4 linked regions of the Lonchura striata genome follow. The protein of the gene in region 1 interacts with the protein of each later gene in a biochemical or structural test. Links are inferred from orthologs where the notes say so. Each region holds a gene or a part of one and is shown in the gene's direction. Other genes may lie near its edges. The genes, in order: ERBIN, MAPK12, SCN4A and ATP2B4.

What was found.
Region 2: the proteins of ERBIN (region 1) and MAPK12 interact in a test that uses a peptide from one of them, tested with the Homo sapiens proteins (2 studies listed by BioGRID and IntAct). The link is inferred for Lonchura striata from reciprocal best matches to the Homo sapiens genes ERBIN and MAPK12.
Region 3: the proteins of ERBIN (region 1) and SCN4A interact in a test that uses a peptide from one of them, tested with the Homo sapiens proteins (2 studies listed by BioGRID and IntAct). The link is inferred for Lonchura striata from reciprocal best matches to the Homo sapiens genes ERBIN and SCN4A.
Region 4: the proteins of ERBIN (region 1) and ATP2B4 interact in a test that uses a peptide from one of them, tested with the Homo sapiens proteins (2 studies listed by BioGRID and IntAct). The link is inferred for Lonchura striata from reciprocal best matches to the Homo sapiens genes ERBIN and ATP2B4.

Annotation. Positions count from the first base shown.
Region 1 is NC_134642.1:27,979,477-27,986,539, reverse strand, and holds the start of ERBIN (erbin), read left to right. Parts: upstream 1-4,044; 5' UTR 4,045-4,160; intron 4,161-4,357; exon of another isoform or gene 4,358-4,509; 5' UTR 4,510-4,590; intron 4,591-4,752; 5' UTR 4,753-5,006; intron 5,007-7,063. UniProt on the Homo sapiens protein: Acts as an adapter for the receptor ERBB2, in epithelia. By binding the unphosphorylated 'Tyr-1248' of receptor ERBB2, it may contribute to stabilize this unphosphorylated state.
Region 2 is NC_134607.1:30,007,333-30,014,975, reverse strand, and holds the start of MAPK12 (mitogen-activated protein kinase 12), read left to right. Parts: upstream 1-4,633; 5' UTR 4,634-4,720; coding exon 4,721-4,836; intron 4,837-5,998; coding exon 5,999-6,128; intron 6,129-7,643. UniProt on the Homo sapiens protein: Serine/threonine kinase which acts as an essential component of the MAP kinase signal transduction pathway.
Region 3 is NC_134627.1:1,945,075-1,952,272, forward strand, and holds the start of SCN4A (sodium channel protein type 4 subunit alpha), read left to right. Parts: upstream 1-4,190; 5' UTR 4,191-4,268; intron 4,269-7,198. UniProt on the Homo sapiens protein: Pore-forming subunit of Nav1.4, a voltage-gated sodium (Nav) channel that directly mediates the depolarizing phase of action potentials in excitable membranes.
Region 4 is NC_134632.1:2,837,505-2,844,372, reverse strand, and holds the start of ATP2B4 (plasma membrane calcium-transporting ATPase 4), read left to right. Parts: upstream 1-3,861; 5' UTR 3,862-4,010; intron 4,011-6,868. UniProt on the Homo sapiens protein: Calcium/calmodulin-regulated and magnesium-dependent enzyme that catalyzes the hydrolysis of ATP coupled with the transport of calcium out of the cell. By regulating sperm cell calcium homeostasis, may play a role in sperm motility.

The DNA of each region.
Region 1 (7,063 bases):
AAAACTACCATCAGTGCATAGGCAACATACTGAGAACATGATTTATTTTAGGCAACTTTGCAGTTGGCTCTTTCTGCCAACTTCATCTGTAACTCTTTGTCTTAAACTAGTCAGCAAAGAATTTTTGGCTATGATCTACAGATGCCAGTGTTCTCACATAGTATGGCTTCATTTTCATTCCTTTCTCTTTGTTTTCACCAGCACAAGATTTATGTGGTGGCATCAGCTGTCAAAACAGACCCTTAGGCTAAGAGGCTACAGCATAGCTTAAAATCAGTGTTAACAGACTGGGCAGGAGCAAAGCAGTCCAAATCAGGAAAGCGTAGAAGTACCTTAACACCACCTTTTTGTCCTTGCTCCTTCACATGAAATGCTCCTCTATGTCCCAAATGTTCCTCAGAAATCACCAGCTCTCCCATGCTAACCAAGGAAGATAAAAACAAGCAAAAAGTAACAGTATAATGCTTAAAAATAATTCTAAAATGTTCCTAATAATTTCTAGAACACAGCATAAAAAACATAGGTTGTGGTGTTACCAAGGTTTTCTATTGGTACTTGCATAATAATTCATCACTTTGATTATACTGTTTGAGAAACAAAGCAACCAAATACAGAAAAAAACTTATTTGTATGGTGTATTTAGCCAGTGCACATTTGGGATTGTAGTGAAGTTAGACTGAACAGAAGTTGTTTACTTAGCTTCTCTTTAAATATAGTAAAAATGCATTATGTATGTAGAAGTTATAGCAATACACTTCTAAGACTTAATTGCCACTGAATTATACCAGTTTTGTGTTAATTTCACCAGCATAAATGTGGTGTCATCCAGCTGTGAACCACGTAAATTCAGAAAATGCTACAGTAAGATATTTTGGCAAATTTAAATTATGGAATATTTAAAATAAACTTCAATATATACTTGTTAAAGAAAAAGAATTACTTATTGCCTCTTCGTGTCTTTAATGTGGTTATTACTTCCACTAATTATTATTTAATATTTGTATTGCAGTCATGCCCAGAAGTTCCACTTCAAATCGATTTGAAATCCACCATTCAAGTCATTACCTGAGCATTTAATAAGCAGAAGTGCTTACCCCAGAGGCCTTTCAATCTATTTCCTAGAAAAGTGGAAACATGCAATCATAATGAACAACAGTAGTAAGAATAGGGGAAAGCAGCAATTAAACCCTGTCACTCAGAAGAAACTATGTAGTAATTGTTCAGACCACTTAACTCCTGAGAGAGAAACATACAGGTGACTGTTTCACCAAATGTTCTTTTGATTTAGCTGCAAGTTGTTGCAGTATTTACTAGTGCTCCTTTCAAATATAAAAATAGAAATTAAAATGAGAGGAGTTTGGGCTTCATGTCCAGCATGAAAGTGTGTATACAGGAGTTGTTTAAATGTTCAGTGGGATCAGATGCAGAGTCTCACTTGAAAGACTCATTTTGTAACTTTGTGCACCTACTCTGTAATTATTTGGTAACTGGGATACCAACTGTGGGAATTAATATTGCTGGGGACTCTGTTTTGATATTTATAGCACATTTAGATCCCTAGGATAACTCCTGGTATTTTCTTAATTTGTACATATAGTTATATCTTGTCTATGCAAAATATCTTCAGTAGCTGTGCTCCAGCTAGCTGTAGTTTCAGCAGACTTTGGAAAGGCTTTTATTTTGATGGCTAAAACTGTAAGTGAAACAGCATCTTACATTGCAACTAATGTTAACACCTATGGGAGATTCACCATCTGAGCAACAGCTACTATTCTCATACCTATCTATTATTCTACTGAATTAATAAATGCACTGGGCAATTTGCAATAAACACTTCCAAAAAATATTTTCACATTAAAAAGTTGTGATAATTCACATAAGAAAGTACCTTGAAGAGTTCATGATGGAGGGCATCAGTTGCAGAGAGCTAGTCACATTATGGTAAGGATATGTTATGTGGTGCATGACAGGAATGATCAATCATTTGCAAGAGATTTAAAAAATTAATAGTTTTATTATAGACACAATGTAGGGTACCACTGCAGGGCACTGTAGTGAGAAATTCTAAATCTGTTGTCAGTGGGGGTAAAGTTCTCTTGCTTGGACTTAGTCCAAAGCTGACTCATTTGAAGAAAATGGCTTTTCTGAACAAGAAGAAATAGAAGCGATTTAATGTTTTGGAAAATATCTATATATACACATACAATTCTCTTTTTTATAAACTCTGATGACTACATTTGATTTAGTTTAATTATTTAAATTTAGGCAGAGATGTAGTCCCCAAAGTAGGGCTGTATGCTCTGTGAAGGTGGAGAAAAGTAAAGAAACGGTAAGTGAGTATTATTATCATAGTAGGAATGCATGCTTATTTTTTGGATCTGGATACAAGCTGGATACTTGAACGTACAATTCCCATATATAGGCAAGAAGTTTAAAATTAATAACTATTGTTGAACACAATGTCTTAAACACAGTGGACTTTCATAAAAATGTGATCATCTTTATGTTTTGTTGCTAAAGGTTAAACCCTTCATTCAAAACCCTGTAAGAAAATAGATGAAGCAAAGAACGATCCTGAACAGGAAGTATCAATTTGAGTTACTGTCAAGGACTGGTAGGGGTGTAAAGGACTTTTCTCATCTAGTCCTATGTTAAAATCAGGGACAGGTCAATAGTAACATGACAAAGCATTTCCCTTGCTGTTCAATGGCTCATATAACACTTCTTAGCATTTTGCCAATTTCTCAGTAAACCGATTATCATCATAAAACACTACTCCATCTTAGTTGGTGGCAGTCCCAGTAGAGTAGCCAGGGATTAAATTAGTGTGAAAACAAAACTACCCCTCTCCTCAGATTTGGTCTCTGCTGAGCACAATTAAGGAGCATAAGGTGAGCAGCATGCACAATTCCACCCTGCTGTCAGCTTCATGTGCTCTGTTATGGCTGAACAGAACTCCAGGCTCCAGGACACTTAAAATGGCATATTGCATACACAATAGGTTATCAAATACCCATTTCGAACAATCCAGGAAATTAAAAAGAAACTCACTGCTTCTGTTCAGATCACACCTGTACTACTGCAATCCAAACCCAACCAATACCAAAGCCGTGTGATCTGTGTACTGCCTGCTTTTCAAACATGACTCTTGTCAGTCAACACGCATTTTCAGTACCGTTGTAACGTACTGACAGTGTTGAAATATTTGGAAGAAAAAGTACAGCAGTGTTCCAGGGTTTACGTGAAACATTGTGACAATATGGGCGGCATTATTTTAATTGTTGTTGTTTGTATCCAAGTTTAACGTACCATACCCAAACACCAAAGCGTGGGTGGAGGCCGTCAGTGTTTCCCTTGGGTGTGTTCGTTCTCTCAGATCTCGGTAGCTGCGAGTCAGGCAGCACAAGGTGCGGGGGCAGGGGTCGGGTGGCCACGAAGGGGCAATGGCCAGCGCCTGATGGCGTGAGCCGGCGCCTCAGCGCTTTCTGCAGAGGGTGTGCAACCATTAAATTACGGAGCTGAGCTGCTAACGAGGAAACTTCCGTCACTCAGGTGTGAATTTGTCAGTGCGACTGACGCTCTGCCGCAAAACCACACTGGGACAGGCCCCACACCGGGCAGCAGCGGGTGGAGCCATTCCGCGGCGGCGAAACGCAGCCCCCGCCCGGCGCCGCTGCCGCCCGCCCCCGCCCCGCCGCGTTCCTGCGCAGCCCGCCCCGCGGGCCCCATTGGCCGCAGCGCCCGTCCCTCACGGCCTTCCCCAGCCCGGCGCGGTCCGCCCGTCCCTCCTCCCGCCCGCCACAGCAGCGCGGGCGCGCCCGCCGCTCCCGCTCCCGCCCGGTCCCGCTCCCGCTCCCGCCCCCGCCAGGTCTCGGCCCGGCTCCGCGCCCGCCCCGCCCCCCGTGCCGCGGCAGTGCCTCCCCCGTCTGGCCAGCGCTGCGCGGCGCCGGCAGCAGCAGCGGCGCGGCGGCTTCGCCCGCGGCCACCTCCCCTTCCCCCCGCCGCGTGTCTGCCCGGGACGTTCATTCCCTCTTCCCACAGCTCCGCCGCCTCCCCCGGCCCCCCGCTGCCGAGGCCGGGGAGGGGGGCGGGAGGCTGAAGCCGCGGGAGAAGGGGGAAGTGTGCGAGAGAAGGCGGGGAGCGCGGGCGGCGGCGGGCAGGTGAGGCAGGCGCCATCCCGCTTCCCTTCAGCCCTCGGCGGTGGCGGCCGCGCTCGGGCAGCGCGATCCCGGGCGCGCAGCCGGCGGCGAGCGGCGGCGCCCATGGCGGCGAGGGGCGGCGGCCGCGCCGGGCCGCGCCGGGCCGCGCCGGGCGGTGGGGGCGCTGCGGTGTCGCCGCCGGGCGGGGCCGGCGCGACGTGGGGCCGGCCGCGGGGAGACCGGCGGGGCGGGAGGAGCCCGGCTGCTCTGGAGCCCTCTCCCCGTGCGCACGAACTCCCTCGTCCTCGGCGAAAGCTGCTAATATTCCTTCTCCTCCTCTCCCCGTTCTCTGCCCTCTTTCTCCGTGAAGAAGGAAACTCGATTGGATTTAACTTGGGGTCGGAAGAAACTCCTGCCTCCTGGATCTGGTTTCGGCGCCCCGACACCTAAGGTAAATAGGGAAGGCTTGGGATCAGCAGCAACAAAAACAACAGAAAAATCCTTCCTCTGGGAAGGGGGTGGAGAAAAAAGCAAGGAGTTCAGGCTTCGTTTTATATCCTGTTTTTGGCCTTTATATTTTGTCTCTGTTTTCCGCCTTGGCCTGCCCTGTTAGCTGCTCATTGTGTTTCTCACCGTCTCGCCTGAACGTGTGAACCGAGGCGCTGGTTTCATGGAGGCCGGGAAAGAGTGTGAGACCGAAAGTTTTTAATCTCATCGGACACAGAAGTTTCTTTGTTCGGTCCGAGAAGGCACTGAGCTGAAACTGCTCGACTGCGTAACTGCTTCTTCAGCTCCCTCCCTTGCAAAACGTTTGGTAACCCTGCGAGTACAATTAAGTTATCGGGAAATGAGAAAGTCATGAAGGAGGTAATATTTCTTTTTAATCGAAAGCTCTTGATGCTTCGTGCTTATGTCTGAGTTGTTTTCTAGAATATCGGTTAGTGGCTGGCCGGACTTCTTCAGGGTTGCTGTTGAGTTTCTTTATAAAAATACGCCCTCCTGGTCATCCGTAAATGTCGCAGTTTTTCCACCTTCGATTGCTGCAGTCACCCGTCTTCTTCCCCTTTACCCTTTCTGTTCTCAAATCGACGAGTTGGACTGCTTATTTTTCAGTTTGTGCAGTGGAGGTCTATCCTGCATTTTGATCCTGGCAAAGTTCATCTTAAGGACCTTCATTTAAAACAAAATACAGAACAAAACCAAAGCAGATAGCTAGTTGTCTGACTTCTTTAAAATGCATGCAATTGGAGCTGTTAATGTAGCCTTGTTGATTTTGGTGACCACTTTCACCTTTCTAATTTTTGAAAGAACTAATTTTTGAAGCTGTTGAAGAGGAAATTAAATGCGAAGTTTTAGTGTAAGATTTTGTACCTCTAGTGCTTGTTATACCAACTAACTAGATGCACGTTTATTTTTCATGCATCAAAGCGACAATTATAGGTTAGTTCTTTCGTGGAGGCAAGGAGTTTCTCATATTGTGAATGTTTAGAACAAGGTAGAAACCGTAGCTCTGGAACGTTTGTTTCTGTTTGTCAAACTCAGAAGCAACATGTTGGTCAGATAGGATGTGTATGCTTCAGTCTTGCCAATGTGTGACATGTACTGGTATTTGGGAGTCTTGGACAAAGTAATTTCTGTGCAAAATTTTTAACACTCCTACATAGGTAGGAGTATCGTTCTTTAACATTGTGAGTAATTTAGTGCTTTAAGAAAAAATAATCCAACTCCTTCTGGTTGGTATAGTGTAAGAAAAAATGTTAACATATAAATGTCTAAAGTGGGTTCAGTGGTTGATAACTAATAAATTATTTGACTTGCAATTTATAGACTTACCTTTCCAGGCAGCAGTAAGGGTTATTCTTAGGCATCAGAAAGATCTGGACAAAATAAGTGGCAGTGAACTTTGCTTTCCTTATGTGGCTGATGCTTGGCAGAAAGTCTGAATAGAGTAATCCTTTTACAAAGAACCATCCCTTTCTAGAGCAGTGTTTCAGTCCCAATAATGACTTGAGATTCTTGAGGGGAGGGTGAGGAGTTGTAGCAGTGCATGACAAATTTAGTTGTAAACCAGTATGTTCATAATCAAGGCAATTTTGTTTCTTTTCAGGCCTTTTGTGTCTCTCATGATGCACTTGATATTTTTCAATGCTGTGTAGAAGAATGGTTCCTTGTAGTGGAGGCACAACTTCTTACGCTAGTGTTTTGTCACCATGGTAGCTATGGATAAGGCCCTTTTTAATGACGAAAGTGTGATTCAGTTCTGCTTACAGCTCACGCTTATATCATTGAATGCCATTATGGCATTAACATAATTTGGGAGTAACATGAAGGGATGTGTTCTTTCTTGAGGTCAATGATCGCAACTAAAAATCAGTCTGACATTGATATTCTTATTATGAACAAAATTATTTAACCTTACACATAGTAGCTCATGTGCTTGAAACAGCACTTTTATAGCTATGCGTTGATGGCTTGGGGAAATGTTCTTTTGACCTGACCGGTTCTTATTCATGAATTAAATTAAGCTTGAGTAAACATCAGTAATTTTAGGAAGGAATGCTTGCAATCAAAGAGATAGAATTTGCAGTATATGGCATACTATGGAATGCGATTATCATTAAGATGATAATTATATTAGTAAAATATGAATAGATTTGTCTTATGCATAAGCTGCACAGTTGATAATACTTAGTGTAAGCATAAAGCTCTGTAGGGTATCAATTTGCACATCATGTTCATATAGAATGGATAAGGGGGCTCTGTGGAGAAAATACTAAAGGACAGTTTCTTAATATATTAAGTCGGTGGTCTCAGAAAACTGTGTTATGATTTGTTCTTGGCGGAATTTGTTGAGAGTCTTTACTCGTAGTCATTAAGAGCCATGCTTGGAAGATCAAAGCTAAGGAAAGCCTTGCACATGTGTA
Region 2 (7,643 bases), on another chromosome or scaffold:
AGGAAATTAGGTAATCAATACTGATATATGAAAATAAATACGTCAATATCAATAGCTAGAGTCATAATTTAGACAGCACTGTGGCAGAATTCTAGGTTGTGCTCTTGGCGTTTGTTTTTTTTTTGACGTGGTATACCAGATGAAAGCAAGAGGGAAGGAGGGTCAGGATCCTGTGCTGCAGGATCTGACACAGCAAGCTCACCCTAAGGGTCAGGAGGGAAACAACCCTTTCAAGGACAAAATGTTGGCAGCAAAAGAAACTTTGACAGAGGTGGGAAGCAGTCAATACAAAAGTTACTTCCTTCCTTTCTTCCTGTCACATGTGCTCCTGGATCATAACAAGAAAACAGACCTCCACTTTACCCACCTTTGGGACCTGATCAAAGATGAATCTGTCCAAAAAGTACCATACAGAGCTGCCAGCACAAATTAGTATCCTTTGCTACATCTGTAAATTACTGACTTGGCCCAAGAATCCCTGACAGATGAGCAGTGTTAAAGATTTCGCCCTCATGAAAAGAGAATTGTGTTGTCGATTGAGTAAACGATGTCTTTTGTTAGCAGCAGAAAGGGATTCAACCTTGACAAGATCAGTCTCCCTAGGAAAGAATTAATAGCAACACTTCCATTTGCTTTAAGAGCAGCTGCTTTTTTCTCACACATTGCTGCTACTGCTGATAGTGTTTATGGATGCGAACGCTGGTTCTTAGAAAATCAGCACACTAGCACAAGTGAGAGTACCAAGGCTCATTAATCTATGACTCTGGGTAAGGGGTTTTAAGGCACTAGTACCAAGAGATTTAGAAAGCTACATTAGTGTTGCTGCCACTGCCCTTCTTTCTGCTGTAAAATAAAATATTGAACTGATACACCTAAAAGGGTCTAAGTTTTCACTACAGTGACAGAATATATCGTGAGCTTTCTGAACACTGATCTTCCAACCAATCTGAGACTTAATCCATTAGACCAGAAATTTCAATTTTGCTCAATTTCAATGAGCAAAACTCTTCAATTAGGCTTCAATCTTGCATACATACAAATGCTTCATTTTGCACTCCCATAGTCCCCCAGCTCCAATTATTGTCACATATTAAATGAGTAAAGCTATCTATCAGTGATATCCATTAATGCTCTTTTCATACGATTTTTGCATTGAGGTTGGGAAATTCTTTAAGTTTTTTTTTTTTTTTACTCTGTAGACTATAGCGTCTCATACTGCAACAATCTGTGACAGTTTAAAAATTAAAATCCTTCTGTTGTAGGAGAGGACCTTTTGGTGGATTCTGAGGAGGAAAAGGAGAGCATTAAAAGTAGTTGATTTTCATATAGGTGTCTACTACCCTCTACAATTGGCCTCTCTTCCTCCACCAACCTCCAAGAAGCAGGGATAATGGGGTAGTATATAGTTACTAGTAAGGTCTCACTTGACCTCTTGAAAAAATGTAATGTATACTTCTAATTATTTTTTAAAATAAAAAAGCACTTAGGTGTATATATTTATTTACTCCTTTCTTCTGATGGCTTAGTGACCTTGAAACATGGCAAGGCCCCCAGGAAGGCTACATGTTACAGAACTGGAACTGAAACACCCTGCTCATTGAGCAGAGAGACAAAATCAGAAAAGTTGCAAAATAGTTGGCAGTGACTCCAGTGGGGAAGGGTGGGGACAAAATAGCACAAGAATATTTTCCTATTAAAACTGAGATTTTTTTTAATTACTATTTTTTAAACTTTACTTCCTGTTGTAATAAATAGAATTAACTTACTTCCTCCATGGCAACAGATCTAAGTAGACAAGCACAGAGTATTTTTTGAAGGTGGGCATATAGAAAACTTTTTTTAAAAAATAATGTTCTAGGAATCAGCTTTTGACTATTCAGCAAGATTTTGTTTATTGACATTTAAGGTATGTTTTACACAGCCAAATTATTAATATGTGAATTAGTGTATCAAGAATAAAATGATCATATGAAAGACAGACATATAAACAGGCAGAAAGGTGGGAAGATGTTTGATTCTTCAAAGGATTTTGTATGATCTCTTTTCCTGCACGTTATCAGTGCCTGGTCTGGAGATCAGTGTCAGTCCCCTCTCCCTGCACCCAGGGCCCAGCAGCTCACCCACAGTTCAGCTCCTGACAAACAGGTCTGTGCCATTTTGTCATCTCCCAGTGACAGCTTATGGTGGCAGCTTTGCCATCAAACTCTCTCACCAGACTTCATAAATGTAGGATTTCTCAGAAAAACTATTCGATTTCTCACTATTTGCTTGTAGAGCTTCTGCTCCAGCACCAGGCTGGAGGGAAATTGTGCTCTCAGTTCCCAGAGTGATTAGAAAAAGTACTGTACCCATCCCATCTACCTCATATGCTTTGCAGCTGATGGCAACCATCCAGCACATCAAAAGCTGACTCTTAAAAAAACCCCACCACATTCTGATACATCTTAAATCTTCCCTTTATAGGATGAACATTAGCAAAGTGCAATTTTTGCACCATTAATGCATTTATTATTTTTTGTTAATGATGTCTGAAGAAGTTCCTTTTTTCTATTAACTTTACAATAAATGTATGCCAGAAGTAGAAACATCTGATAGCACTCTTTTTTAAATCCATCCTGTCAAGCACACATTGCCCAGAATAAGATATGGCTGTAGCATCTATCAGTCCCCTGGCAACAAATTGTCTTTGGGAAAACACGTCACCACGTATCCAGCTGAGCCTAGCAGGATGCAGAGACTCATGCAGTTTGTGACACTGCTCTAACATCTACCAGCTGTGGATGGACCCAAGTTCTTGACTTATTCCTTTCACAGAGATTTTGAATGGTTTATTAGACAAAGCTTCCCTTGTTACAACAGTGCTGATTTCATAGTCTTTTCAGTAAATTTACCAGCTCATCTCCTGTATGTGTGACCTGGTGGGAAAGCTGGTCTTATATTTGACCTACACAGCTACTTCATCCATCTGTAGCAAAGTATGCCTACATATTTACTGAAGGAAAAACATGGGAAAACCAGAAGTGGATAACTTTGTCCATTTAGAATGTTTTTTAAAAGTTGCTCTGTAATATTCTTAGCTTCTGCACAAGAGTGAACTTCTCTTGATGCTAAGTTAGTACTTTTATCTACTGTATCAAAATAACCTAATTTCTGCCTTGATAAAAAGCAAGCAGTAAAAAAGTACCACTTTGTCACAACTAGATCAAGGAAAAGTAGGTGAGGGATGACAAGCAAAACTAATCCTGCCTCTATTAGAAACATATAAAATGGTAATTAAAAGTAATTTAACTAATGGTCTAGTTTGAAAAAAGAGGAAGCTACTTTATCCTTCACCTTACCTGTACCACATATCACACCAGCTAACATCGGAATGGCAAACAGCATAGAAGGGATGTAACAAATTAAAAAATAATCTCCTGGATTTTTAAAAGTAAATATCTACCATTGATCTAACACTTCTCACAAAGCCTCATGTTAACTGCTAAATGTCAGAGGGTTGCTCTCCTTTCTCACTAACACAGAGATTCGAACAGGTCAGCAGAGAGCAGCACTGGAACACCTGGCAGCTGGAAGGCTCTGCTCTTCTGTACCCCGGGAGGAGCAAGGGCAGGGCAGCTCTTCCACATTTGGTAGTCAGGCACCAAAAGGGCAGGGCCCCTGGCAACTACCAAAATGGCCATGAAACTTGTCCAGATTGCCCCTTTAGAGCTAAACCACAAATTGAACTCCAGTGACAGCAAATCTGAAATTATATAACCTCAGCAACATTGCTCAGGGGTGAAGTAAAAAAAAAAAACCAAAGGCTTTACCAGACACTGGAGGACAAGAATTTTAATCATATTCACACAGAGAACACATAAAACCTATTTTAAACCTGGTCTTTGCCTTACACGTGTTGCTGGCCCAGGCCTGTTTACTACAGAGCCACTGAGAAGGTTGCTCTTGTCCATACTCCAACACTGCAATAATTTCAAGCCAGTGCTGCAACAGTTCAATTCCAGTTCACTTCATCCATGCGCAGGACCACTTGCTCTGAGCACCTGAACCAAGCGCGTGGTTTTTATTTAACTATATGAAATATTGTTGTAACTTGTAGTGTCATTCTGGGATGGTCTGGGAACCTATCAGTTCGTCTCAGGGCAGAGGCTATCCAAAAGCTCACTTTTGGTACTCCCAGCGATGGCACCTCACCGGAACCTGAGCACAAAGGCAAAACAAGGCAGGCGTGAGGGGGCCCCGTGGCGGGGAAGAGCCGGCCGGGAGGGGTTTGGTCCGCACGGGCAGCGAGAGCCCCGGCACCTGCCCCCGTGTGCGGGCTCGCTCCGCCGCCGCCGGGACGCCGCGCCCTGCGCGCCCCGCGGAGCGCAGCCCCAGGCGGCCGGGCAGCAGGGATGCAGGGCGCTGCCGGCGGGCGCGGATCCCAGCGCCGGTCCCGGGGCAGCGGCGGATCCCAGCGCCGGTCCCGGGTCAGCGGCGGATCCCAGCGCCGGTCCCGGGGCAGCCGCGGATCCCAGCGCCGGTCCCGGGGCAGCCGCGGATCCCAGCGCCGGTCCCGGGCAGCGGCGGCGGCGGGCGGTGCCGCCGGCGGGGCGCGGCGGGGCGGGCGGTGCCGCTCGCTCAGGCCCGGCCCCTCGGCGCAGCCCAGCTCGGCGGCGCCGCCGCTCCCGCTCCCCCGGCCCGGGCTCTTTGTCGGCGCGGGCCGGCGGGGGTCGGCAGCGCCATGTCCTCCCCCAAGAATGGCTTCTACCGGCAGGAGATCACCAAGACCCTCTGGGAAGTGCGGGACCGCTACCGGGACCTGCAGCCGGTGGGGTCCGGCGCCTACGGAGCCGTGTGGTGAGCGGGGCTGCGGGGACAGCCCGGGGGCGGGGGCGGCGGCCTCAGTCCCGGCCCGGGGATGCTACCGGGGCCGGCCCTCTGGCGTGTTGGTCCCTGCCAACTTTTCCCGTTTGTTGTCCGGACCCGGGCTGGCCCCGCGGGTGCAAGGGCGGCCCCGCTGTTCACCTGGCCGCCTCGGGCCGGGCTGTTCCGCCAGGGGGAGCCGAGCCGCGGGTGTTCCGTCCCTCGAGGGAGCGGAGCCCGAGCGCTGCCCCGGCCCCGGCCCGGGAGCGCTGCCCCCGCCCCGGCCCCGGGAGCGCTGCCCCGGCCCCGGGAGCGCTGCCCCGGGAGCGCTGCCCCGGCCCCGGGAGCGCTGCCCCGGGAGCGCTGCCCCGGCCCCGGGAGCGCTGCCCCGGGAGCGCTGCCCCGGCCCCGGGAGCGCTGCCCCGGGAGCGCTGCCCCGGCCCCGGCCCCGGCCCCGGGAGCGCTGCCCCCGCCCCGGCCCCGGGAGCGCTGCCCCGGGAGCGCTGCCCCGGCCCCGGGAGCGCTGCCCCGGGAGCGCTGCCCCGGCCCCGGGAGCGCTGCCCCGGCCCCGGGAGCGCTGCCCCGGGAGCGCTGCCCCGGCCCCGGCCCCGGCCCCGGGAGCGCTGCCCCCGCCCCGGCCCCGGGAGCGCTGCCCCCGCCCCGGCCCCGGGAGCGCTGCCCCGGCCCCGGGAGCGCTGCCCCGGCCCCGGGAGCGCTGCCCCGGCCCCGGGAGCGCTGCCCCGGCCGCGCTGCCGAGCCCAGCTCGCGGCACCCCGGAGCGGCTCCCTGGAGCCCGAGGTGTTTTAGCGCTTGAGGCGGGCCCCTCAAACGCAGTTTGGCTCTGCGTTGGTGGTGGGTTTGTGTGTTTAGTGGGATCTTTTTGTCTTGTTTCTCGTTTGGGAATTTTCCCCCACTCCGCAGATGTTCCTCTTTAAAGCTTTTGATAATTGTCTACATTTCATCACAGGATCTGGCAGGCTTTTAAACGATGGCTGCCTGCAGAGGTGCTCTGGGGACCCGGTCTCCCCGCTGGCGCGGGCGGCTGCGGGCCCGAGGCCCGGCAGGATGCAGCCGCTGCCCGGTGCTGGCCGCGTCTGCTGGGGTTTGCAGACAGGCTTCGGTCCTTGCTCACCGAACTCTATCTTTTCCCTTAAAGCTCAGCCGTCGATGGAAGAAGTGGTACCAAAGTGGCTATTAAGAAATTGTACCGCCCGTTTCAGTCTGAACTCTTTGCCAAACGAGCATACCGAGAACTGCGTCTCCTGAAACACATGAAACATGAAAACGTGAGTTGAGTCATTAGCTCAAAACCACAGCTTAGACACTCTAAATCAAAGAAAATATGTATATTTGGACAGGGCAGATGTGTACCTGAATGGAATTAAGGAATCTTTTAGCCTGTTTTTTTTGTCTGCCTGTTCTACAAATATCACTTCACACAAACTAGAATATCCTGTGCGAAACACCACTTAATTTCCACGTAGGAAAAATTGGGTGGGGAAGGTTAGGACTACAGTGCAATTTGCTCAGTGCTAGTGAGAGGGATTAAAGACCAGAAATTACAGTCTCTATCTTTTTTCTTTTTTTTTTTTGTTCCCCTGAGCTTTCATGAAGATGTACACATGCATATCTCTGAGGCGGGGTTAGCATTTTTCTCCTTTTTTATTTCTTTTTTTCTCCCTTTTTATCGTTTATGAAGCATTTGAAACTTTCAGGCTGATATTAATGGGAAACAGGAAAAGTCCACAAGTGGCTAAACAAATTGCTTTACTGTGAAACAGAGAATAGGTAATAGAATTCTGCACATAATTCCCATATAACATGAAAGAACAGCTGTAGAAAGAAATGTTGAAAGTGTGATTGAGAGAAAGATTCATGGTCCCAATACTGCTTAAGAGTTAGGAAAAAAATAAAGAAGTTTGTGCAAAAGCAGTTGTTACAGAGTCTCAAAGCATGGATTCCAGGTGAGAAGAGTCCCAGGGTGGATTTGGAGGGTTACCATAGTATTTTTAAGTGCTTTTCATGAAGAATGCATAGGATAAAAAACTCTTTATTTGTTTGGAGGGAATTGTTAAAATGATGCATAAGAACATAGTTTAAAATGTTAATTGATGTGGAAGATTAGAGAATACCTCCATTCAGAGTGCCTTCACAAAAAACTGAGAGATCAAAAGCATGAGAGAAAATGGTAATAACAATAACTAGACATTGCTATTTAATTTTATAATACTAATATTGTGAGTACCAACTAGGTTCTTTTGAAGAATAATTTGTAGGCTATCCTGACAGTCCAGAAGGCAAAAGAGCTTTTTGTAGGCTTAAGAAACTGTCTACTTGTTTTAATCTAAATCTTTTTATCTAAATACTTCAAAGTAACTGTCCCATAACCTCTACTCCATATGTTTAAGAGTTAATGTTTGCAGGAAACTTCTGTGTATGGGCTTTAATACTCTCAGCGTTTTCTTTACTGAACATTTGGGAGCAGAGCAGCCTGCACAGTTGCCAAGCTCCTGTGTCCAGAATTTTGAGATTATTTTTCTTCCATTTCCCAGAATAATCTGTTGGGTAGCATTTTCCACTCCTAACAGGTTTTGTACAGTGTATGCCCTGTGGAATAATACTCTAGAACTTCCCTGTGGGCTCAATTGGTAATTAAAGTGTCCTGAAGAAAATGCTCACTGGGGAACCGGAGCACAATGTGTACAAGTTACAAATCAATATATATGAAGGAAAGGAATGATTTACAATCTTAGGAAACACTGTGGGCCACAGAAAGAAGAGGTTTGTGTACTAAAGAAAGG
Region 3 (7,198 bases), on another chromosome or scaffold:
AGAGATCCCATGGGAGGGCACTGAGAGGAAACAGAGCCCCAGAGCTGATTTAAGGTGAGATGGGAGATATATATTCCAATAAAAACCCTTCCAGAGCCAGTACATCCTGAATGATGAGGAACCCTCCAGAGGAGCTCAGGAACTGTTAAATAAATCCCTGTCTGCAGCCAGGAAGGGACCAGAGGTGAATAGAATCCCTCTCCATCATCAGTGAGGATGGGATGATTGCAGGGATGAGACAGGAGCAGATTGAGCAGGATTGAGGATGCTCAGTGGGAACACCTATTTTCAGAAAACTTTGAAAAACTCTGGAATTGCACTTCCATTTGCAGATGGCGTTTTGAGGTGATAAATGACCCCAAATGACCCTCTGGGGTTTGCTGGGCTTTGAACCCCATGGGACTTTGAGGCCCCTTCAGGACAGGAGGGGACTGGGAATCACCCTCAGCCTGCAGGAAAGGTTTTCCAAAGGCTCCCAGCACGGACTCCACCCTGCAGCTGCTAAAGATCGTGGAAAGGGATCTTAAAGTGTTGAAACAGACCTTAAAGCTCATGGCAGGGAAACCTCCCGCTGTCCCAGGCTGCTCCAAGCCCCCTCCAACCTGGCCTTGGGCACTTCCAGGGCTCCAGGGGCACCACAGCTGCTCTGGGTATCCTGTGCCAGGGCCTGCCCACCCTCGCAGGTGTTACAGTGAGCTCATGGACACTCTGTGCCCCCTTCCCCGGGACCCTGCGACTCTGATCAAGATAATCCTGGACCCCTCCTTTCTGCCCCAACGGGGTTGGCGGAGAGCCAGGGAAGCCCACCCTGTCCAAAGTCTATATAGACCCCAGACATTTCCTGTTCATCCTCTTTTGCCCCGCTCTCCCCTTGGACACCACAGAATAAAGAGAGCTGAACCAACATATCAGGGGTAAGAGCCTCTTTTGGAAATCTTTGTCATGTCCTGATATTCCTCCCCTCACAGCCTCGGACCTCTGGGCTAGCCTGATTATTTAGGGGGCTGTGTGAGGGGGAGAACGTAACGCAAGGAGGAATTTCTTCCGAAGACCGTCACCTTCTCAGGGATTTTTTCCACCCTGGACGATCCTGAGGCTGTGTTCGGGGGTTCTGGCTCTAATACCCGCATCCTGCCCCAGCACGGCCGCAGTGCCGCAGCCTGGCACGCCGCTCGCCCCGGTGTCCCCGCGGTGCCGCGTGTCCCCGCAGGCCCGGGCGCTGTCCGGGCACGGGGAGTTTAGCCCGGAGCCGGAGGGTGGCACTGCGGCCCCGCGGCAGCGGCGCGGGCAGCGCTGGAGCGCGGCGAGCCCGCGGGGCGCAGCGGGGCGACCGCGGCCACGGCCCGGCTCCGAGAGCCCCAGCCAGTGAGGAAAGGGTCACCCTGCTCGGGGCATAGAGCCGGGACAGCCCGGCAGCCCGGGCAGGTGCGGGTTAACCCGCGGCGGGGCGGGAGCGGGCCGAGCTGGGGCGCGGTGCCTGGGGCTGCTGCCCGTGCCCGCCTTCCCCGACCTCCGGACCTGCCAGGACGCCCTGCCTGGCACAGAGGGTGCCCTGGGCTTCCATCCGCTCCTTCATCCCGCCCCGGGATGCTCCCGGCTCTGCAGCTCGGGGAACTGGCCCTGCCCGGGTCTCCCCTTCCCCTGCCTGCGTAGGGACCGGCAGAGCCCCGGGGACACGGCAGGGACACCGCTGGCAGGAACTGGGGACAAGGGATGGAGGGACAGGACCCAGGCAATGGCTCCCACTGCCAGAGGGCAGGGATGGGTGGGAGATTGGGCAGGAATTGTTCCCTGGGAGGGTAGGCAGGCCCTGGCACAGGTGCCCAGAGCAGCTGTGCTGCCCCTGGATCCCTGGCAGTGCCCAAGGCCAATTTGGACAGGGCTGGGAGCAGCCTGGGACAGTGGAAAGTGTCCCTGCCATGGCGGGGGTGGGGGTGGGTGGTTTAAGGTCAGTCCCACTCCAAACCATTCCCTGATTCTGTGATCCTGTGGTGGATCCAGCACCACAAGCCAGGGCACCTCAGATGTCCAAAGCTGGACTAAGCATGGCCCTAATTCCACCCTGGAAACCCAAGGACACGTTTTTCCACCCTGATCAGTGTGGTCAGTACCTCTCGGTGCCCCAAGCTCCCATTCCCATTGGAATTTCCTCGGTTTTGCAGGCAGAACTGTGCCCATGTGCCCCGCTGGGGACCCTTGGTGTCTCCACATCGCACGGGGCAAGAGACACATCCAGGGTTTCCAGACTCACTCCAGGCCTGCTCATGGTCTGGGAGAAGCAAAAATGGACCTGTGCAGCTTGAAAAGTCTCTCTGTGGGTGACAAGGTTGGGCTTGGGGCAGCTGCTGGGAGCCACCAAACATCCCCTGAATTCCCCGCTGTGACCAACAGAGCAAATGGAAAGTCCCCACAGGCACAGCAGGAGGGTGTCCCTGTCCCTGCTGTCCCCACCAGCCAAACCCACTGACCCTGGGATGCACAGGGAATGCTCTGTGGCCCTGGATCATGGCTTTTGTTCTGCTGCTCAGCCCCCAGTGGGCTCCTGTTGGATTAAGTCTTTTTCTGAGTTGAGAGGAGTTTTAAAATCTTTTATTCTATTTTCAGTCTCTTGTGAATAGAGGTCAGAAGCTAACTGTCCACAGGCTCCCAGTGCCAGCCACGCCTGTAGCCACCCCTGGGAGCTGCTCTGGGCTCTTCCTTCCCTCCTCCTGCACCAGTTTTCCCTGGAGAGCTGAAACAGCTCCGGCTCTGCCTCATTCCCACAGCCTTGCACAGGACAGGAAAATCGTGGAGTCAGAAGCAGAACCAGTCCAAGGACCTTCACTTCCCAGCTCCCTGGTCAGGGCTGCAGGCCTGGCCATGGATGTGCTGATTGTGGAGGGTGCTGGAGGGGACAGGGGTGAGGGGCTGGGCAGGAAGGGGATTCCCATGGCATTCCAGGCTGGCAAAGTCAGGGGCTGCAGCTCCACTGAAGCCACCCAAACACCTGGAAGTTTCTCCAGGGTGTTTTGGGACTGGAAAAGCAGAAATTAATCACAGGAACAGTGGGTTTGGGGAGGTGATGAACCCCTCTGACCAGGCTGAGTGCTGGGGTGGCTGCTCCACCCCCAGCACAGCCCTGAGCACCCCAAAAGGGGTGACCCTGCAAGCTGAGTGCCCCTACACCCTCTCCTCCAGGCCCTGGGGGCACACCGGGCACCCCACGGACCCCAGAAGTGCCTGGGCTTGGCAGAAGAACCCAAAGACCCCATGAGGAAGCACAAAGAGGGGACAACCCCACTCAGGCAAATCCCTGTTTCTGCGTCACCCCGGTTGTGGCTCACGGGGTCCCCGTGGGCAGGACACGCGAGGGACATCCCCATCGGATGCTCCTGGGATGTTCTGGTGCAACAGGGTGCGAGGAGGGGACAAAAAAGTTACAGACACTCCTGGTTTGCCAGCAAGGGGAGGAGCGTGGCCGCTCCTGGGCTCTGAACAATGGGAACGACGCTCCCGGAGAGCCCCGGGCTCGGGCACAGCGCTGGCAGCGGCCTTGGCGCCGGCTGCCCCCCCGCCCTCGCAGTTGTCCCGCTGCTCTTTCCAGCGCCTGTCACTGCCGGGGAGGCGCTGGCCAGGGTCGCTCCCACCTCCCCCGCCGCTCCCCGGTCCCTTCGGCTGCCGAAGCGGGCGCGGAGCCGCCGCGCACCTGGGGCCGATGGGGCCGGAGGGGCCGGAGGGGCCGGAGGGGCCGGAGGAGCCGAGCCGGTGGGGCCGGAGGGGCCGGAGGGGCCGGAGGGGCCGGAGGGGCCGGAGGGGCCGATGGGGCCGGAGGGGCCGATGGGGCCGGAGGGGCCGATGGGGCCGGAGGAGCCGGAGGGGCCGATGGGGCCGGAGGGGCCGGAGGGGCCGATGGGGCCGGAGGAGCCGGAGGGGCCGATGGGGCCGGAGGGGCCGGAGGGGCCGATGGGGCCGGAGGGGCCGGAGGGGCCGATGGGGCCGGAGGAGCCGGAGGGGCCGGAGGGGCCGATGGGGCCGGAGGAGCCGGAGGAGCCGCGGCCGCCCCGGCCCCGCCGCCAGCCTGACTGGCGCGGCGCGGAGCGAGCGCCGCGGCCGAGACGGGCCGGGCTACCTGAAGGACCCCGCGTGTCCTCAGGTTTCACTCATGACCATCTGACAGCCGCGGCAGCTGCTCTGCCAACTCGCCGAGCCAAAGCCTCCAGGAGTCGAAGGAGAGGGAGGTTCTGGCCCTAAAAAGTCTCTCCTTGGGACTTCACACTCTCCACCCAACAGTGAGTACTGGGGTCAGCCCTGGGCTGCTGCCAGGCCGCCGGGCAGGGCTGCGGGGTCCGGGATGTGCCCGGCTTTGTCGCTGTCACCGTGCCCGGAGCGGTACCGGCAATGTCCCGGGATTTACGGTCCGAGCGCTGGAGGCGGGCGGGCCCAGGATGGACTCTGCTGGCTCTGGGGGGTGTTCAGGGCTGGAGGCACCTGCTGGACCCCCCTGCATGGAAAACTGTCCGGGACAGGGGACAAAGTCCCCACGAAGGTGCAGGCAGGGCACGGGGAGAGGGTGGCAGCAGCCAGCGGGGCCCTCAGTGGCCGCAGGGCTGTGTCGGGATGAGCGGGGACAGCCAGGGACGTGGCGGGCAGTGGGCTCCCGAGCCACCTTCCCCGTCACAGTGAAGGAGCCACGGGCAGAGCTCACAAGTCGCAAGGCTCTTTTCTCCTGGCTTCTCCTCCTGGAGGTCTAAATATAAACCCCGGCCTGGGCAAGCCAAGGTTGCAGGAAAGGTCTGCGAGTGCTCCCAGTGTCTCCTTTCGGGAGCAGCCCTGTCCCCGCAGAGCCCCCGTGCTCCGTGGGGCGGCAGGGGGGACCCGAGGGCAGAGGGGGCGGTGGGACCCCTGTGCCGTGGGGCAACATCGGGGTGGGGTGGCAGGGAAGGGGAGGCTGTCCCCACACTGGGGCTGTGGGCACACGGGCACAGCAAAAGGGTGCCAGGATGAGCCCAGGGTGGTGTTCAGAGCTGGATCCTCCATGGCAATCAGGCAGTGCCAGGCTGGGGTTCAGCTCGGGGTTTTGGGTGCTGTATCCCCCCTGTGCCAGCTCCCATCACCCGCTGCATGGGCAGGGCCCGCTCTGCACGCCCAGAGCCCTTTTGGGGCTTGTCCAGGGGCAGTCAGCCCCCATTCCCCCTTCCCCCACCCCCCATCCCCCATTCCCCATTCCCCATCCCTGCAGAGGGAAGTTTGCCGAGGAGCAGAAACATTTCCTGCCCTGCCCTCAGGGCACTCACTGATGGAGCTGTCAGGGATCAGCTCGCAGCAGAGGAGGGATGGAACTGCCGCTGCCAGCTAGGGACAACAATTCCACAAAGCCCTGGGGACAGCAGGACATCCCAGTCAGTCCTATTGTCCCGGGGAGACCCTGGATGGGTTGATGCAGCGCTGGAGCTGCCCCCTCTGGTTCTTTCCAGGAAAAATATTGGATTTATAATGGTTTGAGGGGGAAAGAGCATATTTACAGGAAGGGGTTAATGAACACAAAGTCTTGCCTTGACTCTGCTGTGCTAATATTTAAATAGCGTTTTGTATTTTCTGACATGCACAAAAGGGTCCAGTCCAGTTCAGCATTTTGCCTGGCTCTGTGGAGTCGCTTGGGCAGCTCCAGCTCAGCTCAGGGAAATTTACTGGATTTGGTGTAGGAGAATGAGTGGCCGAGCCATGAGGAGACGCCCAGCACCGTTTCTGTTTGCAGCAGGTTGGATTAATGAGGTGGATTCTGTGCAGGGCAGAAAGGGGAGAAGGTGGTGGAGGCTTTGGGAACTTGTGAGGGGAAAGATCCCAGTTTGGCTCAGGAGAGAGCAGGGAGGATGCTCAGCCTCCGTGCCTGTGCCTGTCCTGCTGTCTCCCTCCTGGGATCCATAAAATCCTGAGAACCTCTCATCTTTGGGTCTCCTTCTCAATTTCCAGGTGGATTTGAATGAGATCCCTCGGGCTGTGGGGCTCAGCTCTGTGACAGCTCCAAGTGCCCCGTGCTGGTCCTGCTTTGCAGGTGTCTGCTCCAGGGAATTGGCATCCAGAGGCTGCAAAGGGAAACGGGGCATCTTCCAGCCCTGGGAAGTTGCAGGGCTCCCAGTATTGCCAACCCCATGGGAGCAGCAGGTCTGGGACCTGCTCCTGGTGCTGTGCTGGGGATCCCTGCAGGAGCTGCTGTCTCTCCTGGCATCCCCCAGGGGTGGGGGCATCCCCCCGAGCCTGGGGGACAACAGGTCACTGCAGCCCCACGCCACTCTCCCTTCCCCCTCACTGTCCCCTCGCTGCCTTTCTGGCACGGCTCAGATCTTTTCCAAGCCTGACACGGGAGCTGCTGGCAGGGAGGAGCTGCAACTCTGGATGACACCCGAGTGCAGGGTGGGCAGTGGGCAAGAGCAGGGTCCCCACTTTAACCCTTCCCTGGCTGCTCAAGCCTCCAGCACTGCCAACTCCCCCCAAAATAACCCCGAGCCGCCACCCAGTTGTGGCGTGTGTGGGTGTCCCCTTTCCAGCAATGCCCTGTCCCGCAGCAGGGACAGCAGGAGTGGGGTTGGGGTGGCATCCCCGGCTCCAGGCAGGAACGGGTCAGTGCGTGGCTGCAGGATGGTGCAACCTCCTATTTCCATCTGTGGCCGGGGAGATCATCCCAGGATTTCACAGCTCCTGGGCTGTGTGTGCCGCCCCCACTGAGCACAGCAGGTACAGCCTCGGGGCACCGAGCCCCAGGAGCTGCAGGGCAGCAGCGATCCGGGAACCGCGGGGCATTCATTCCCACGGGTTTGATGCTGCTGCAGGAGCGGAGGTGCCTCTGCAGAGCTGGATTTTTGGAGCTGATGCCCCTGGAGGAGCCGTGCCCCCTTGGAAGTTCAGCACGGAGGATTTGGCTTTCCAAAGGAAGGCAGAGCCGTGATGGGCTCAGCTGAGCCTCTGAAAGGAGCCGGAGGAGGGAGCAGCTCCGTTTGTGGCAGGTGCAGAGCCCCCGGAGCAGTGCAGAGCCCACGGAAGGTGCTGCTGGAACGGGACACAATTCCAGTGGAACTGTGCATCCATCCTGCTCCACGGAAATCCCCAGTGCCAGCACAGCTGCGGGGTGTCCTTGTCCCGGTGCACACCAGGCTGCAGAGGTTTGGCTGCCAGGAAAAGGCTGGAGAGTGTGGAGGGCTCCTCTCTGCTCAAGACAGGCAAA
Region 4 (6,868 bases), on another chromosome or scaffold:
ATCCACCCAGGAATTCACCTGGGAATCCACCCAGGAATCCACCCAGGAATCCACCCAGGAATCCACCCAGGAATCCACCCAGGAATCCAACTGGAGATTCACCTGGGAATTCACTTGGGAATCCACCCAGGAATTCACTTGGGAATCCACCCAGAAATCCACCCAGGAATTCACACAAGAATCCACCAGGGAATCCATCCAGAAATCCACCCAGGAATTCACACAAGAATCCACCAGGGAATCCATCCAGAAACCCACCCAAGAATCCATCTGGGAATTCACCCAGGAATTCATCTGGGAATTCACTTGGGAATCCACCCAGGAATCCACACAAGAATCCACTTGGGAATCCACTTGGGAATCCACTTGGGAATCCATCTGGAAATACACCCAGGAATCCACCCAGGAATCCAACTGGGAATTCACCCAGGGATCCACCCAGGGATCCACCCTGGAATTCACCCCAAATCCAGCCTGTCCCTGCTGTCACCCCAAATCCGTCCTGTCCCATCTGTCACCCTATACCAGCCCGTCACCATCATCACCCCAAATCTGTCTGTCCCCATCATTACCCCAAATCCAGCCTGTCACCCCAAATCCAGCCTGTCACCCAAAATTCAGCCTGTCTCTTCTTTCAGCCTATACCATCCTGTCCCCAGTGCCACCCCAAATCCAGCCTGTCCCAGTGCGAGCAGCGTGGGGACACCTCTGTCACCTCCCCGGGGGTGGCCAAGCCACTGGGAGGAGCAGGTGAGTGGAGCAGGAGGGAAGCAGAGACCAACACAGAGGGTCCCAAAATATTCTGTGAAGGAATTTTTCCCATCTGCAGCTCGTGGGGACAGCTCGGTGCTGACTTGGAGGTGATACTCCTGCTCCTGCTCCTTCTCCTCCATGTTCTTCTCCTTAAACGTGGCCTGGAAGAAGCTCTGGGGCCGTTCATGCCTCTCAAAAATCACATTTCCCCACACGGATTTCGGGATTTTGGCTGCTCCCTCCCGCAGCCGCTACCCTGGGGTGGAAAACCTGTTTTTCCCCTTTTTAACCCAAACCCAATGCTGCAAATTCCCGGCAAATTCCTGCTCACACGGCTTCCCTGGGGCAGGAAGGCTGATTTCCTTCCAGGAGCCCAAATCCAGATGGTCAGAGATTCCTTCCAAGCTCCCAGAACCTGTTGGAAAAGGCCATTATGTCTCAATAGCAGCTCTGCATGGGAAGCCGTGCCTGCCAGCTGCTCCAACACCTCTTTTCCAAGCTGTTCTGTGAACCAGCCTGCTCAGGGCTGGCAGATTTTGGTGGAGGAATAAAAATCCCTGTGTTTATTCCCATTTTTTTGTGTGTGGCGGGCAAACGTGGAGTGAGTGAAAGGGGCCTGAGTTTGGTTTTTGAGTCTTTGTCATGAGAATGCCCAGCCCTGAAATATTTTATATTTTATTATCTATAAAGCTATAAATCTATAAACCTATAAATCTAGAAATATATACATATATACATATATACATATATACATATATACATATATACATATATACATAATAAATAAATAAATAAATTTATATATATGTTTTATTTTCAGTAGGAATAACCCTGGAAACTCCCAAGGAGCAATTGAGGAGGAATTCCAAACCCAGGGCATTTTCCTCTTCCCAAAGGTGGTTGCGAACAATGCCCAATCACTTGTTTTTTTTAAAATTTTAAAAGTTCGATAATAATAAAATGGTTATAAAAATAATAATACAATTAGAGGAATAAAGTTTAGAGTTAGGACAATACAAGACAATACAAAGCAAAGAATTATGGATGTTTGGGTGCTTTAAGTCATGAAAAGCATGACTTGTGAACAAAAGAATCATCCTTAAACCAATCCACTTGTTGCATATTCATATATCCTTCATGGTTATGCATATATTTTATTTAAAACAAACTCTGTCTGTTGTATGTCAGTTGTTTCCTTTAATCCCTGGGCGTCTTCGATCTGAGCAAGGCCTGAAGAAATTAAGCTTATTCTGATAAGAAGCCATAAATTCTTCTCTTTTAGAAGATTTTGGTGTTCCTTGAAGCGAGTATCTCATTCCTAAAAAAATAAAAAAACAACTTCCCCCACATACATAGTCTATATTTTAACATTAAGTTGTAACCTAAAAGTACATTTAACACACTACCGAAGAGAATTAGCACAGCATCACTTTCTAACATTACACACATAATATTCTTCGTGCCATTTGCGAAAAGCCAATCACAAAATCTGCATTTTTCACAGTCGTGCTCCAAAGGATGCGGAGATGGAATGAAATCCAACCCGGGCAGCTCTGATGTCGCTCGGGTGACTCCAAAAAAACATTCCCAGCTCCAAAAAAATCCCCTGGATCGGCTGGGCTGGGCGAGAAGGTCCATCCCGGAGAGCTGAGGGAGGAATTCTGCTGGAAAATGGGGTGGAAATGAATTCCCAGGGCTGGCAATGTGGAATTCCCGAGGTGCAGGCCCAAACCTCTTGGGATAGCTAATGAGGGGCTAATTAACGAGGGCTAATGAGGGGCTGTGGCCGCAGGGGTGTTGCACTGGTTAAACTGGAACAGCTGGAGCCCAAACTGGGATTTGGGAGGGGATTTTTGGAACCCCCTCGAAGCCCTGCATGGAATCCTTCCATGGGGAATTTTATCCGGGTTCCTTTAGGAAAAGGGGCGAGGGTGGGATTTGGGGTGGGGGGGTTGGGCGTGCTGGATCTCAAGGTGTCAGCACCCCCAAATTTGTGCTGCCTATGAGGGGACAGGGTGGGTCAGAGCCACCCCAAAAGTGCTAAAACCCCCCAAAAAACCCCAATTTTGTCCCAGGTCACAGAATTCCTTCTGCCACCTCCACGGCCGGAGTGGGGAGGGGGCTGGGCATGAGGGTGCCAGCGGTTTTTGGGGTGCCCACACTGCCCTGGGGGGTCCCCACAGGTTTTGGGGGTGCACACTCCAATCTGCTTTCAGGGTGGGGTCCCCACATTGCCCAGGGGTGTCCCCACTCTTCCCGGGGGTGCATCTGCCTCCCTGCCCAGCGTGTCCCCACCCTGCTTGGGGACCCCCATATCGCCCCGGGGTGTCCCCAACTCTTCCCAGGGGTGTCCCCACATCGCCCAGGGAGTGTGCCCAAATTTCCCAGTGGTGTCCCCACCCTTTTGGGGGTGCACCCACTGCCTTGTCCAGCGTGTCCCCACCCTGCCTGGGGAACCCCGTATTACCTGGGGGTGTCCCCACCCTGCTTGGGGACCCCGATATTACCCGGGGGTGTCCCCACATTGTCCGGGGAGGTCCCCACACTGCTTGGGGGTACCTGGGGTGGCACCTGGGGGTCCCCACATTGCCCATTGGGGTCCTCACATTGCTCGGGGGGTCCCCACATTACCTGGGGGTGTCCCCACCCTGCTTGGGGACCCCGATATTACCCGGGGGGGTCCCCACATTGCCCGGGGGAGTCTCCCCTCTTTCTGGGGGTGCATCTGCCACCCTGTCCAGCGTGTCCCCACCCTGCTTGGGGACCCCGATATTACCCGGGGGTGTCCCCACATTGCCCGGGGGAGTCTCCCCTCTTTCTGGGGGTGCATCTGCCACCCTGACCAGCGTGTCCCCACCGTGCTTGGGGGTCCCCGATATTACCCGGGGGTGCCCCCACCCTTTCCAGCCGTGCACCCCCCGCTCTGCCCGTGGGCTCCTGCCATGTTCGGGGTCCCCCACGCCGCTGTCCCCCCCTCGCTGGTCCCTTCACCCCGTTCCTGTCGCCGTCCCCCTTAAGCGGCCGTCGGGGCGTGCAGCCACCTTAAGGGAGCCCCTCCCCCGGCGGGCTGGGACGAGCCCTCCCCCTCCCTGCCCGCCGTCCCCTCCCTCGCCGGCCCGGCCCCGCACGGCCCCGCACGGCACGGGGGGTTGCCATGACAAGCATTTTCTCCCGTTAGCTCCGGGACCGCTCCCCCTCCAGCCCATGGCCAGTCGCGGGGGCTCCGCCGCCAGCCGGGCGCCGTGGGACCGGAGCCGGTGAGTGCAAGGGGTGGGGGGGACACGACCCCGAGAGCTTGGGGGTACGGGGGTCCCGCGGGGGGTTTGAGGTGTTGGGGACACGGCGGGGGGACGCACGGGAGTGGCGTGGGGTGGCTGCGGAGCGGGGGTCTGTGTCGGGGCCGGGGGTGGGAGCATCGCCGCCCCCGCCGTGGGGGCGGTGGGGCGCTGGCAGCGGGGGTTTCACCGCCCCGCTCCGTCCCGGTGCAGCAGGTGGGATGGGGGGGCTCGCCGTGGGTTCTACATCACGGGGGGGTCGGTGTGGGACCCCCCCCCAGACCCCAATCCCACGTGGGAGAAGGGTGGGGTGGTGGGGTGACCGCGGTCCGGCCGCTCCGGGGCGTGGGCGGCTGCGGGGAGTGCAGCCCCCAAATTTCTCGTGGGGGGGGTAACTCCGGCAGCCCCCCGGGTTTTGGGGTGGGGAGGATGCTCCGGTCGGATCCTACAACTTGTTGCCCGCCCTTGAGGTGGCTGTGTGTGTGCGGGGGGGAGGACGGTGCGGGGTTCCCGGTCGCGCGTGTTGCTGGATTTTTTGGGAGGCAGCGGGTTGTGGCATTGCGGGGAGGAGGAGGATGAGGATGATGGAGGAAGGAAGAGGCGGGGGAAGGGGAGGGGGGCTTGCGGCAGCCCAAGGACAGAGCGGGGAAGGTGCTGCGTGGGTGGGTTTGGGGTGGTTTTTTTCCCCCACGCGTGGGGCAGCAAAGGGGGCTGCTCCCTGCCTGGAGTGGGGTGACTCGGGTGGGGGGCGCGTGGGGAGGGTGGGATGCGGTGGGGAGGTGCGTGGGAGGGGAGGGGGGGTTTGCCCACGCCACGGCTGGGCACGTCTCCCTCCTGCCTGCACCAATCCAGCTGGGCAGAGCCACAGCAGAGAAAACAGGAGTGGGGAGGCGGAAAATAAATTAAAAAATAAATCAGGAAATCTATTGCAAGCTCGGCCAGGCTCTGGCCTCGTCCGCCTCCTCCTGCCTCTGTCCCCAGCGCTCTCGCTGCATCCCAGCCCGGCTCCGGAGCCTCCCAGCATCCCTGGCCTGGCTCGGTGGGTCCGTGTCCCCCGTGGGCTGCCGGCGGCGGGGGCGGGGGGGGCTGTGCGGAGCTGGGTGGTCCCTCCCCGCTTCGCCAGAGGCGAGTGGAGATGTTGGGAGGGGAGGAGGGACAATAGGTTATTGTGCTCTTATCTCTGGAGACCTGAGCTTGGGTGGGGGTTTGCATTGCGAAGCCCAAACCAGTGCAGCCAGTTTCTGCCCGTGGCCGTGGACTGGCAGCCCCGGACGTGGGTGGACGGGCAGGAGCCGAGGGCAGCGAGCCGGGGTGGAGGTGAGTGCTCGGAGCTCGCCATGGGGCACCCAGAGCCGTCCTGGGGCCGGGGGACCCCCGAGGTGAGCCCCCCATCCCAAACCCCTTGGGCTGCGTGGGCAAGGCAGGGGCTGCACCGCTGCCTGCGCCCTGCCTGCCTCCAGACATTGCCCTCAATCTTTCGCTTTTCCGAGCACTGAAACGCACCTAAATTATTCAATCATGAGCGAGCGAGGCTGACGCCCCCGCGCTCCGCCAGCCCCACCCCGCCGCGCCCCGGGGATCCCTCGCCGGCCCTGGGCTTCCCTCCCCGGCTGCCCCCTCGGGTGACCGCCCGGACCCCTCCGTGCGGCCAGGCTGGCGGCTCGGGGGGGCTGGAGGTGCCCTTCGGATCGGAGCGGCGGAGGACCCTTCCTCAAAGGTGGGCGCTGGGTGGGCTTGGAGGCCAAATTGTGAGTGCCCGAGGCCCGGCTGCATCGCCTGGGCTGGCGGATGGCCGCGGCACGGGGAAGGTGCCGGTGCCGGGATGGTGCGGCTGGAGCTGGGAGGAGGCAGCGCTTCCCCGTTCCGGCCCCGGCACCGCGCGTTCCCCGCGGGCTCCGGCCCCGGCCCGCCCTGGCCGCCGGCGGGGCCGTGGCTGCCGCTCCCCGTCCTACCTACCCCGGCTCCTTCCCGGCTGGAAAAGCGCTGAGAAGTGCTGCAGGTAGAGAGGTTTGAGAGGGCGCATTCTGTTGTTGGGTGTTGGTTTCTTTTCTCCTTCCTTTTTTTTTTTTTTTTTTTTGTATTTTTTTTTTTTTTTCCGCTGGCGATGATGACGGAGGGAATTCCCTGCGCTGCCGGCTCGCCGCTCGCGTGCCGTGGGTCCGCATCTCTTCCCGGGGGAATCTGCCGCTGTCACCCCAGCCTTGCGCCTCCGGAGCCGGGAGCCGCCGCGCCCGAGCCCCCGGGCAGGGCGGGGGCAGCCCAAGGGTGGCACGGCTCCTTGGGCAGGATGAGTAAGAGCAGCAGGGAGGGACGCCTGCTCCTCTCCACTATTGTTTAGCAGTCGAAAGCTCCGGGGTGGAGCTGAGCCTGGAGTTTCCCCTTGTCCCCAAGCCCTGCGAGGCGAGCCCGCTCCTTCCCCGCCGCCCCTCGCCGGGGCCGCGCGTTCCCCGCGCGTTCCCCGCTCCTCTCTCGGGTTATGTGTTTTCTTCTAGTTTTTTTTTTTTTTTTCTATTCCTGTTTCTCCTCCCTGCTAGGCCACGAGCGGAGTTTTCCCGCAGGGTTGGAGCCTGCGGGGAATTTGGGGACCCAAATCTCTGCGGTGCCGGGGGGGACTCGCAGCCGCCACCCGCTCGCTGCTGCTGCTCCCCGAGCACGGCCCGGCCGAGGGCTGGGCCGGGCTGGGCTGGCAGCTCCGGCTTCCTCCTCGCCCAGGGCTCCTCCCCGCCGGGCACGGCTGCGCCCTGCTGGGAAAGGAGCCGGAAAACCTGCGGGGAGAGCCCGGGCATCCCGCTGGGTCCGGGAGAGCCCGGGCAGGGACAGCGAGACCCGGCGGGGAGACA